Linked DNA regions of Daphnia pulex. The protein of the gene in region 1 interacts with the protein of each later gene in a pairwise test. Links are inferred from orthologs where the notes say so. Each region holds a gene or a part of one and is shown on either strand. Other genes may lie near its edges.

Region 1 (4,689 bases):
ACTAAGTGGCTGCATTTGCCTTTTGTAGCAAGACCCACTTAGGAAATAAAAATAACAAAGAAAATAAAAAATATGATGCATATGCAGAATAAGTTTGTGTTTCATACCAATAAAGTTTCGATCGCTCTACAAAAGCGTACGAATCGCCATCTCCAATAAAACAACGACAGGAACTACACTGAAAGCACTCTGGGTGAAATTTGTGGTCACCAGCAACCATGACAGGACCACCAGTTATCAACTAAACAATGACAGATAAGGTTATTGCTCCTGAACCCAAAAAATAGCAATTACCTGAGAACACTGTTGGCACGACTGTCCATATTTTGCCCAATAGTGCATTTGGCAGAATAAAATATCACCTTTCTCAAAGTACCAATCTGAGAGGGTTTCATCACACACAGAGCACCTACATTTGATAACAAATTGAGAATTAAGTATCTTGACAGATGCAAAGGGATTAAATAGCTGAAATTTTAACAGCTGTAAGACAAACATATACCTGAAACAGTCACTGTGCCACTCTTTATTTAGAGCTTCAATGTACTCATTATCATGGATATGATTAAGGCAGGCAGAGCAAACATTTTGTTTAGTCACATCGTCTATCAGAGAAAAACAAAACAAATCAAGTTAATTTAATAAAACAACACTCACACGATTATAAAACAATCTATAGTTCTACAGTCAAATCATGCATTCAACACATTTATCATATTTATTACTGTCTTAAGCTGTATTTCTAATCCAAATACTGATAAAGCATGAATCACGACAGCGTGCAAACAAAATTTACTGAATCAATGACACCTCCCTTAGTCCCTATCTTTACAAAAAACATATTTCACAATTATCATATTTGTTTTGGATTCAAATATGATAAAATTTGGGAAACTACTAAATTGCATCTCTACTTTTTAGATAAATCCATCAAAGATTAAGAGTCATCTTAAATAATACCGAGTGTTTCGAAACAGAAAACAGATTGATAACAAACCTCTAGTTTCCATGTTCATGAAGGAATCTCCATTCTCTAATGTAACATCTGTCGTGAATTCCAAATGTAACTCTCGGGATTCGGATTTGTGGGGAGATATAGTGCGGGAAATGGATGCGGATAGTTAATCACCCAATGGCCTTCGTCGGAACCCTATGATCCCATCCCTTGTTGCGCGCGCGAGTTTTTCTCTAGGACCGACCCGCTTTGAATGTTTTTAAATCTGTTTTATTCTATTTATTTAACTTGGAGAAGTATTTTGGACACGGAACATGGTTGACCACTAGTTACTCAAGAAGTCCAGATAACAGAAGGCAGACATTCAGATGAAGCATACAGTTATCTTAAATTATTCAGTATGATTAGCCGGCCTGTAAGGAGGAATTGCGTAATGTAACTGAATTATTTTGCTGGGGATTCCCATTTTTAGGGTGACAGTGCTGTTCAGGCGATGGAAATAGTAATGACAATAGAGTGACTTGATTAAATTCAAATTAAGATGTGCACTCATCGCGCTAATCATTATCATAATCACCTTTCGCGCATTTCAACAGTGTTCTAATTTAACAACTGCTATTTATTCTTATCAATTACGATATATCAACTTGCATGTTAGTTAGAAAAAGCGTATAAAAATTGTTGTTTGATTTCTAAGCTCTCCCTATCACTCTGAGAGGACAGCGCCATCTTATCGAATGGTGGACATTATGGACAACTTAGTTTGAGATAGAAGCATAGAACTTTCCGGAAAATCTAGAAGGTTATTTTATTTTTATATGTTCTACTTTTATGAGTATTTTAAATTAATGAGCACATTTTTCCCTATTAAAAAATAACAGAGTAGGTAGCGCAGTGTAGCCGACTCCCAAGTCCCAGTTCCAGTCGACTCAAGTTTCGAATTCCGTAAATTATAATTCCGCATTCACTTTCCCGTAAATTATACAGCCAAAGCCCAAAACATCAGCCAATCAGCTGTCATTGAAGTCGTCTGATGCACGTGGGTATAAATTGTGGTACAAAAATGTTGTGCCATTCACTAACACATCAATCAAAATGGTTTCGTGTGAATTCATCTTTAAGAGTGTTAACATTGAGATACTTTTCCCAAGAATCTCCATCACCGGGATTTCGTTCACCGTCACAGCGTATTCCGTCTACGCCGGCTATACAAAGTGAATTGGTTAGAACCCCATCTGAATATGTGAAAGGTTCCCGCGTATTGCAAGTTGCAATTCTTGGCATACCGAATGCCGGTAAAAGTACTCTAGTCAATCAACTTTCTGGATGGCAGACATGCTCAGTTTCCAAAAAAGTTCACACAACCAAAAAGATGTCGAAAACTGTGTTAATCAGAGATGAAACTCAAATTGTTTTCCTCGACACTCCAGGGCTGGTTCTACCTGCTGAAGCCAAACAGTAGGATATATTATTGTTAAATAACAATTATTCTTAAAATATTTGTATAATTAACATTAGAACATTTCCTTTTCAGGTTTAATCTTGATAAATCCTTTGTAATTGATCCTGAAGTTGCACTATCTAAAGCAAATTTACTTTTGGTCTTGCATGACATCAGTAACAAATGGACAAGAGGAAGTTTGAGTTCAAAAATCCTTAGACTTCTCCATCTCTATCCCGACAAAGAATCGGTTTTAGTATTGAATAAAATTGATTTATTAAAGGAAAAGCGCCTCCTTCTAGACTACACTAACAAATTGACGGAAGGCATAGTTGGTGGTAAATCAATAGCATCAAATACTGATCCACGAAAACGAAGAATGAGTCGGCAAAACAGTGACATGTCCACTGTCAATGAAAGCAACACAGAGTTATCGGAACCCACCAATTCACGAAGTATGTCAGAGAAGGAAGTGGCAAAAAGGATCGAAGGAAAGATGGGTTGGCCCAACTTTTCTCGTGTGTTTATGATATCTGCCATTGACGGAGACGGAGTTTCGGACATAGTGGTTCGTAATTATCGGTAGATTAAAATTTTAATTTTTTATACCCAAATTTCTTTCTCAAAGGAACATCTGTATGGAGCTGCTAAGCCAGGTCGGTGGATGTACAATTCTTCGGTAGTAACGGATCAAAACCCTCATGAAATGGCAATTGCCATAATAAGAGGTAAACTACTAGATATTCTGGATAAAGAATTGCCATATTCGATTAATACATCTGTTCGATACTGGGAAGAAGATTTATCAGGTAAATAAAAATAAAACTATTATAGAGGATTAGTTGTGGTACATTTTCATATACGGCATAGGTACCTTGAACATCGTGATGGCTTTAGATTGTCAGAAAAAATTCACTGCTAAAGTAGTTGTCGGCACTGGTGGTCGCACTGTAATTCAGCTCGCTAGAGAAGCAGAACAAGATTTGAGAAACATGTTCCGTCAAGAAGTTCGTCTTAAAATCGTTGTAGAACCGGCGTAAAGAAAAGTAATAAAAGAATGTATGTAATTCTTGGTCGTGTACAATTGACGTGTATTCAAAATTGGTGTTGTGTTCTTCTCACTTTCATGATGTCTTTACAGAACTAAAGCAGAAGACGTGTCTCTTCGATGGGGTAGGACAAAATCTCAAAAAGATATAATCTTAACAACCCTTGTTCAGGATTTTTCTTAATTTTTTAAATTATCTGTTGAGGAGGTGGTTGAGGTTGGAAAAACGGCTCATCAAACAGAGCTCGGTATTTGGGTCTCAATCTGCATTCAGGACAATAATAAGTTCCTTCGGGTGCTTCTGAAATGCCAACACACTCAAAGTGGAACCATTCATAGGGACAATCACTAGCGTCACAGCCAATCATTTGTGAAACTTCATCGTAAGGACATCGGCAATAGCAGTAAAGTCTGTCAGGATCTTCAAACGAAGGTACTGGATGTATGGGTGTTTTCATCACCTTCGCCGGAGAGAGTGGAGGCGGTGGAGGAATTGCGTCATAGTTGTGAGTAAATTTTAATTTCGCAGTCGTTCGCCCCGGCTTTTTCGAGATGGTTTTCACTTTTTTAGTTGAAGCGGCCGGGTTGATTTTTTCTTCCAAACTGTCACCCTCGTACCAGTAGAGATCGTCGTTCCGTTTACGCCGACCTCGTCCACGCTTAGAGTCGGATCTCTGCTCTACATTAACTGCCGGAGGTGGCGGTGCCATAGTGATCTCCTTTACAGGAAGTGGCATGATGTTTAACATCGGAATCGGCTCTTTTTTCCTCTTGAGAGACCGCTTGTAGAGACCGCTAGCCACCGCGTTGATGATGTCGTCGACTGTGTTGCCAGTTGAAGGCAACTGGTGATCTAAAATCCAAAAAAAGCGAATCGTTAATAGTCTATTTTCTTAAGTAAACGACTAATTAAAAACCAAATACCTTCCAAATTGAAGTTCAGTGACGATTCTTTCAAGGCTCGTCTCTTCTTTTTCTTCTTCTTTCGCTTCTTTTGAGAATCACTCCGAGCTTTAGGTGATGCAAACCTCGACCGCTTCTTGTTCTCCGAATCGGAATCACTTGTTTCTAGGTCCGATTCGTGCACACTGATATCGGCATCCGATTCGACCCCATTTTCGGAATCTGAGGAGGATTCCAAGGAACTTGGAGGTTCGCTATTGTTTTCAATGTCAACATCCGCCTCATCTCCTTCGGGAGCTTGAACGACTGCTGGCACTGGCGGTTTCTCTACCACCTCCTCGT
Region 2 (5,687 bases), on another chromosome or scaffold:
CAACAAAGCATCTAGTGAAGCGAAAGATTCCCTTCCAGAAGATGTCTATGGTAAAAATCTAGGTTTAAGTTCAACAGCAGGAAGGCAAGCAGTCTGGGTTGATGAAGATGATGAAGATTTAAAGTAAGATATCACACTATTTATTTAAATAATTGTTTGTCATTTTATATTGATTTATTTGTATTCTAATAGGTGTAAAAATGTACAGTTTCAAAAAGAAAAGGGACTGGTTGGTGAAAAGGCCACTTCAGAAACTGTATACAAACAGGTCCTGGAGAAAAGGTTTGCATCTATTCATGGTCAGGTTACTCCTAAATGGGCTCAACTAGAGAATAAAAAGGGAAAAAAAGACCAGGACAGTGACGATGAAAAAGAGGATCTGACCAAAGTAAAACTTAAATTGTAACTGGAGTTGCATGATCTTCTTAATGATACTATTTTGTCACTTTATATCTAGACCGCCACAGATCTTTTAAGGAAGGATTCTATTTCTTTGCCGCAAGAAATAATTAAATTTTCGCGAATGTTAGATATCAATAAAGAAACTAGAGCAGAAGGACGGGTCATCAGTTCTGTCGAATTCCATAAAAAGCAAAGTGTTGCTCTTGTAGGAGGAAATTCTGGAGTACTTACACTTTTCCAGGTATTTTATATTACACTTGTCATATGCTATGTGAGTTACTTATAAGTAATTATTATTTTTTAAATTTAGGTTGGCGGATCTTTGAATGCTAAAATTCAGTCAATCACCTTCAAGGAATTTCCCATTCACAAGGCTCGCTTCTCGGCGAATGGGGAAGAAGTCATAGCTTCCTCGAGCGTGACAGGCAATATTCAAGTACATAACTTGGTGAATGGAAGGAACACAATCATTCCCCATAACAAGCAAATGGAAAAGGGATCGTACAAAGTAAAAATTTTTAATTTCTAATGTTGCAAGTCAAGTGTCTAAAAGTGTTTATTCGGTTGTATTTTACAGGACTTCGTTCTTTCACCCGACGGGAAGCTAATAGCTTATCAAGGTCAATATGGATATATTCATTTAATGAGCGCACGTTCTAAGGAATGGATTACATCTTTAAAAATGAATGGAGAAGTGCATGCCTTGACTTTTAACGTAGATGGCACTAGATTGTATAGTCATGGAGGTAAAAAAAAAAACTACTCGAATCATTCGAAATTTTAAATAATAATTTTTTCTCCCAGAAAATGGTGAAGTTTATGTGTGGGATATGAACGCTAAAGTGTGTGTCCATAAGTTCGTAGATGACGGGTGTATTAAGGGAACGTCTATTGCTATTTCACCTACACAGCAGTATCTCGCTTGTGGTTCTTCTTCTGGTGTTGTTAACTTGTACAACACTAGTCAGCTAGAAAATAATTCACTCCCGAAACCCGATAAAGGTAAATGCCTATTTCTCTTTGCCAAAATCTCTCCGTGAAATAATTTTTTTTTTTTTAATTATTATTTTGCAGTGATTCTGAATTTAGTGACGAAGATATCCGGCATTACCTTTCATCCAAGTTCTGAAATTGTATCCATATTTTCCTCCGAAAAAGAAAATGCCGTCAGACTGGCTCACTTTCCATCAATGACGGTCTTCAAGAATTTCCCAATCCAGAATAAGGGCACTGCTCGTATAAACACGATGGATTTCTCTCCCAATGGAGGCTACATGGCTGCGGGACTAAACAACGGGTCCGCTTATCTTTATCGACTACATCATTACGATCAATATTAAATAACATTACCTTTGATCCATGGATTGACAAAATATTACGGGGTTCAATTTTGACTTGAAGTATTGTTACCAGACTGAATGCCGTATCATTTTTTCCCATTAGATATTACTTAAACTTAAATTAACTGCTTAATTCTTATAAGCGAACTGGGACACTACAACCGTATTAAGCACATATTAGTCTTATAATTTCATATTCGCTTAGAAACTCACAGCATGATGAACAGAGGAGAAACAGAAGATTTACAACGAACCCCTTTAAATATTTAACAAGCATAGATAAAGCCTGATCACGCCCTGTAGTTGATTTTGTTGTTTAAACAAAAAAAATGTTTTTAAAAACTCTTGACAGTCTGACTATAGAGTGCCGACTGTGCAGTACGGATTCATTTGTAGAAGCGGCAAGTTTGCAACACATACAGAACAGGAATAGTAATTAGTAAATACCGCCATCTCATTTTCGTCTGCATATCCTGAACGTGAAAAAATTTGAAAGTGGATTAAAGTAAAAACCTTGTCAAAGGTATTTTCCCAAACTAAGTTTGTAGTTCTAGATAACCTTCTACAGCTATTAATCTACGTGTCCATTCAAGGGTATTAAGAAGTTATTGTATCACTTTTCATGCCTATCTGTGGGTAAAATACCTTCTGTGCGTCACATATTGTTGCGTTCTTTGCCCCCCTTCCAAGTTCCAAAGGTGAATTGCTTCTGATAATTTGTTTGGTTCTTTGACCAAATGTTTAATATCTTTATTAGGTCATTGAATAAAACTGCCATATAATCCAGATGTAGATACAGTGGCAGTGAACTTACAGTTTTAGTTGTAAGTGAACACCCAAGTAGAAACAAGCTATAACATTATTATTTGATGCTTAGAAATGAGTATCTTAAAATTCAAAACCATCCTGCCCAAATTGCCTTCTGGATTTTTAAAGAATACTTTACTGCCTACTAAAAGAGTCCCCTTGAAAATATTGTGCAAATATTCTTCTGGAAGTAACCTTCAGATTCAAGGTAGGTCTAGTATAGAACTATAGATTTAACAGTTCTTTTGTGAGATCCGGTCTTTATCTCACGACATAGCGGGACATTTTTATTGTAAGTTACACCCCAGAATGATCTTATACCTAAATCAGTAATTTTCGGTAATCGTCATCGCTATATGTTCATTTTCAATAGTGTAAAAAAATTTCTTTCAGTTATAAAATATTATTTGCTTTCTAAACTCATATTAAATACAGAATGATTAATAGAGTCAATTATTATTCGATGGAAATTTGTTTAGAGACTTTTTCGGATTTGTCTCATTTTTTAAATTATGGTTAACATAATAATCAACCAAGTTTTCAATTACTAGAAAACGAACATTATGACCGGCCAAAATTGCTGAATGTACATTTACCCAACACTAGCGCACCATTGAAGCTGCACCCCATCTGGCTTCGAGACCACTGTAGGTAAGTCATTATATAAAAATATCACATCCGGAGCATTTTTTCTATTTGAGCGGTCGGCAGCGCGCCAAAGGTGATGTGGAGCTTGTTCGATATATTTTCTCCTGTATGCAGGTGTCCAGAATGCTATAACGACGTTACCTGTCAAAGAAACAACGATATCCTGAAATTGAGTGATCAAATTGCGATATCAACTTATTCACAGAGCGACGGTTTATTGCACATTTGCTGTAAGTCCTCCCATTTAAGATAACTGCATAACAAGAAATTCAATAATTACAAATTTCTACTCTCCTATTTTGCTTTGTTTCATAGGGTCTGACGGGCATAAGTCATCTTATTCAATCCCGTGGCTTGTTAGCAATACTTACGACGGGAAGTACAAAGCACTACAAGAAGAGACGGACCGATTGACTACATGGGATGGAACTACCGTGAATTTATTGGGTTTAGAGCCCATTTCGCATCAACGCCTGATGAGTGATGATAAAATATTACGTGAAATATATCGCCGGGTCTTTCAGTACGGCTTCGTCAAAATAGAGCAAGTACCACCAACGAAACTTGACACCAGCGCGGTTATCGAGCGTATCTGCCGTATGTCCCACACGGTCTTTGGAAAGTTTTGGGAAACCGGTACCAATTTCGACCATAAGGATACGGGTTACCTGAACGGCTATTTAGAAGCCCATACAGACAACACTTATTTTACTGAAGCGCAAGGGTATGGATTTCCCTCTTTTCTTGTTGATTTAATTCTTATTTTTGAACTGAATTTATCCTTTTCTATCCTATCCGTTCATTGTTTTAGGCTTTTGGTTTTTCATTGTACTCATTTCAATGGGACGGGTTGCGAATCTTTCTTGGTAGACGGATTTCACGTGGCTAAGCAGTTAAAACAGCTTGATCCTTCTGCCTACGATTATTTGTCCAAAGTAAATATGGAAGCCGAGTATATTGAACCAGGTGAGCATTTCTCTTCTTGGGGTCCCATCTTCCGTCATCATCCAGTGAGCCATAAGTTGGAACAGATTCGGTAAGATACTTTTGTCTGAATAAAAAGGCGTTTCTATTTTAATTACAGTAAATTTATTCTTTATTCAGGTTCAACATGCTAGATCGGTCGCCTCTTTCTGGTATCCCACAAGAGGAAGTCGGTACCCATTATCGTTATCTAAAAACCATGGCGACGCTCGTAAAGAAAAAAGAAAACGAATATCGGTTTCGTCTCTCACCAGGAACCGTGATGATAATTGATAACTGGAGGCTCTTGCATGGGCGTGAAAGTTATCAGGGTGAAAGAGTATTGAGAGGTTGTTATTATTCCCGATCGGACTTTATGAGCAAAGCGCGACATTATGGAATAATATCTTGATTAAACTGCGCCACGATTAATTCGTCAATGCACAATAAAACAATACCATTTTCAAGACAAATTATTTGTTATTTTAAACCCGCATTTGGAAACGCATAGAAATTTTCGAATTTAATGTAAACTGAATATGATTACCGGAAAATAAATAATCATCAATTTAAAAAAAATTATAAAAGACTCGTCAGCTCCGCAAAAATAAAATGTGAATAAAACAATTTAATGTGTAGTAAAAAAAATTCATAAATGATATTACTGGCGTGGTCCAGTGGTTATGGTACCCGATCATCATGAGGTGGAAAGATTGGGATGGTTTCACCTGCGGCTCGTGGATACTAGTCAAACTAGCTAAATGAAGTACAGCATAAATAGAAATAAGTCTCTTAGTTCCCTCTTGGCTGAGCAACTATTTGAAAATGCAACAGTGCAATAATCGTAATCTGTTACGATATTGCATGCGCGGAAATCATTCCAATGACCAAAATTGATGGATCAATCCTCTATAAATTCTAAACTTTTTTTACAATGTAAATTTCACATTTTATTTCTCGTCAGCTCCGCTCTAGCCTTTAAAGTAAATGGCAACTCAGCAGGCATCGTATTCAACATGGCAGCTAACTAAAAACTGGCCCTGCCCACGAAAAGTTTTTCGAGGATTAAAATCGATAAAGACGAGTCATTGAATTGAATTTGCATCGTTCAGCTTGAGTATTGCTCAAAATCAAAGCATTTTTGGGCAGTGATTGCTCATTGGTGTCCGCTAAGGGTCGCACAACATAATGTCTAGCAGTCTAAAAATGGGTATGTTGGTTTATTATTATAGGGTGACTCATTATGCAGTTGTCATTAGTTGATGTTTATATGTTGGTTTATTGCATTCGTTTCAGGCAAAGCCATTGAAGACTGTTATGTCATTGCAAAGTATGATTATGTTGCCCAAGGATCACAGGAGTTGAGTTTAAGGAAGAATGACAAACTTCTATTGCTGGATGACTCAAAACATTGGTGGAAAGTTCAAAATTCTCAACACCAATGGGGATATGTCCCTAGCAATTATGTGAAGAAGGAGAAACCATCTATATTTGACTCAATCAAGAAGAGAGTGAAAAAAGGGAATA

Evidence for each region.
Region 2: the proteins of GTPase Era, mitochondrial-like (region 1) and trimethyllysine dioxygenase, mitochondrial-like interact in a two-hybrid assay, tested with the Drosophila melanogaster proteins (2 studies listed by BioGRID). The link is inferred for Daphnia pulex from reciprocal best matches to the Drosophila melanogaster genes CG7488 and Tmlh.

What each region holds. Positions count from the first base shown.
Region 1 is NC_060021.1:6,372,754-6,377,442, forward strand, and holds GTPase Era, mitochondrial-like, read left to right. Parts: upstream 1-1,883; 5' UTR 1,884-1,988; coding exon 1,989-2,413; intron 2,414-2,489; coding exon 2,490-2,964; intron 2,965-3,024; coding exon 3,025-3,205; intron 3,206-3,266; coding exon 3,267-3,436; 3' UTR 3,437-3,463; downstream 3,464-4,689. Other genes in the region: LIM domain kinase 1-like, read right to left, coding at 1-37, 108-241, 295-409, 503-605, 998-1,016; uncharacterized protein LOC124193405, read right to left, coding at 3,633-4,297, 4,369-4,689.
Region 2 is NC_060024.1:8,486,593-8,492,279, reverse strand, and holds trimethyllysine dioxygenase, mitochondrial-like, read left to right. Parts: upstream 1-1,938; 5' UTR 1,939-2,265; exon of another isoform or gene 2,266-2,440; intron 2,441-2,499; exon of another isoform or gene 2,500-2,619; 5' UTR 2,620-2,621; coding exon 2,622-2,757; intron 2,758-3,100; coding exon 3,101-3,200; intron 3,201-3,311; coding exon 3,312-3,427; intron 3,428-3,512; coding exon 3,513-3,921; intron 3,922-4,008; coding exon 4,009-4,233; intron 4,234-4,301; coding exon 4,302-4,572; 3' UTR 4,573-4,633; downstream 4,634-5,687. Other genes in the region: U3 small nucleolar RNA-associated protein 18 homolog, read left to right, coding at 1-123, 193-388, 458-643, 713-910, 980-1,148, 1,207-1,404, 1,477-1,742; cytoplasmic protein NCK1-like, read left to right, coding at 5,349-5,370, 5,457-5,687.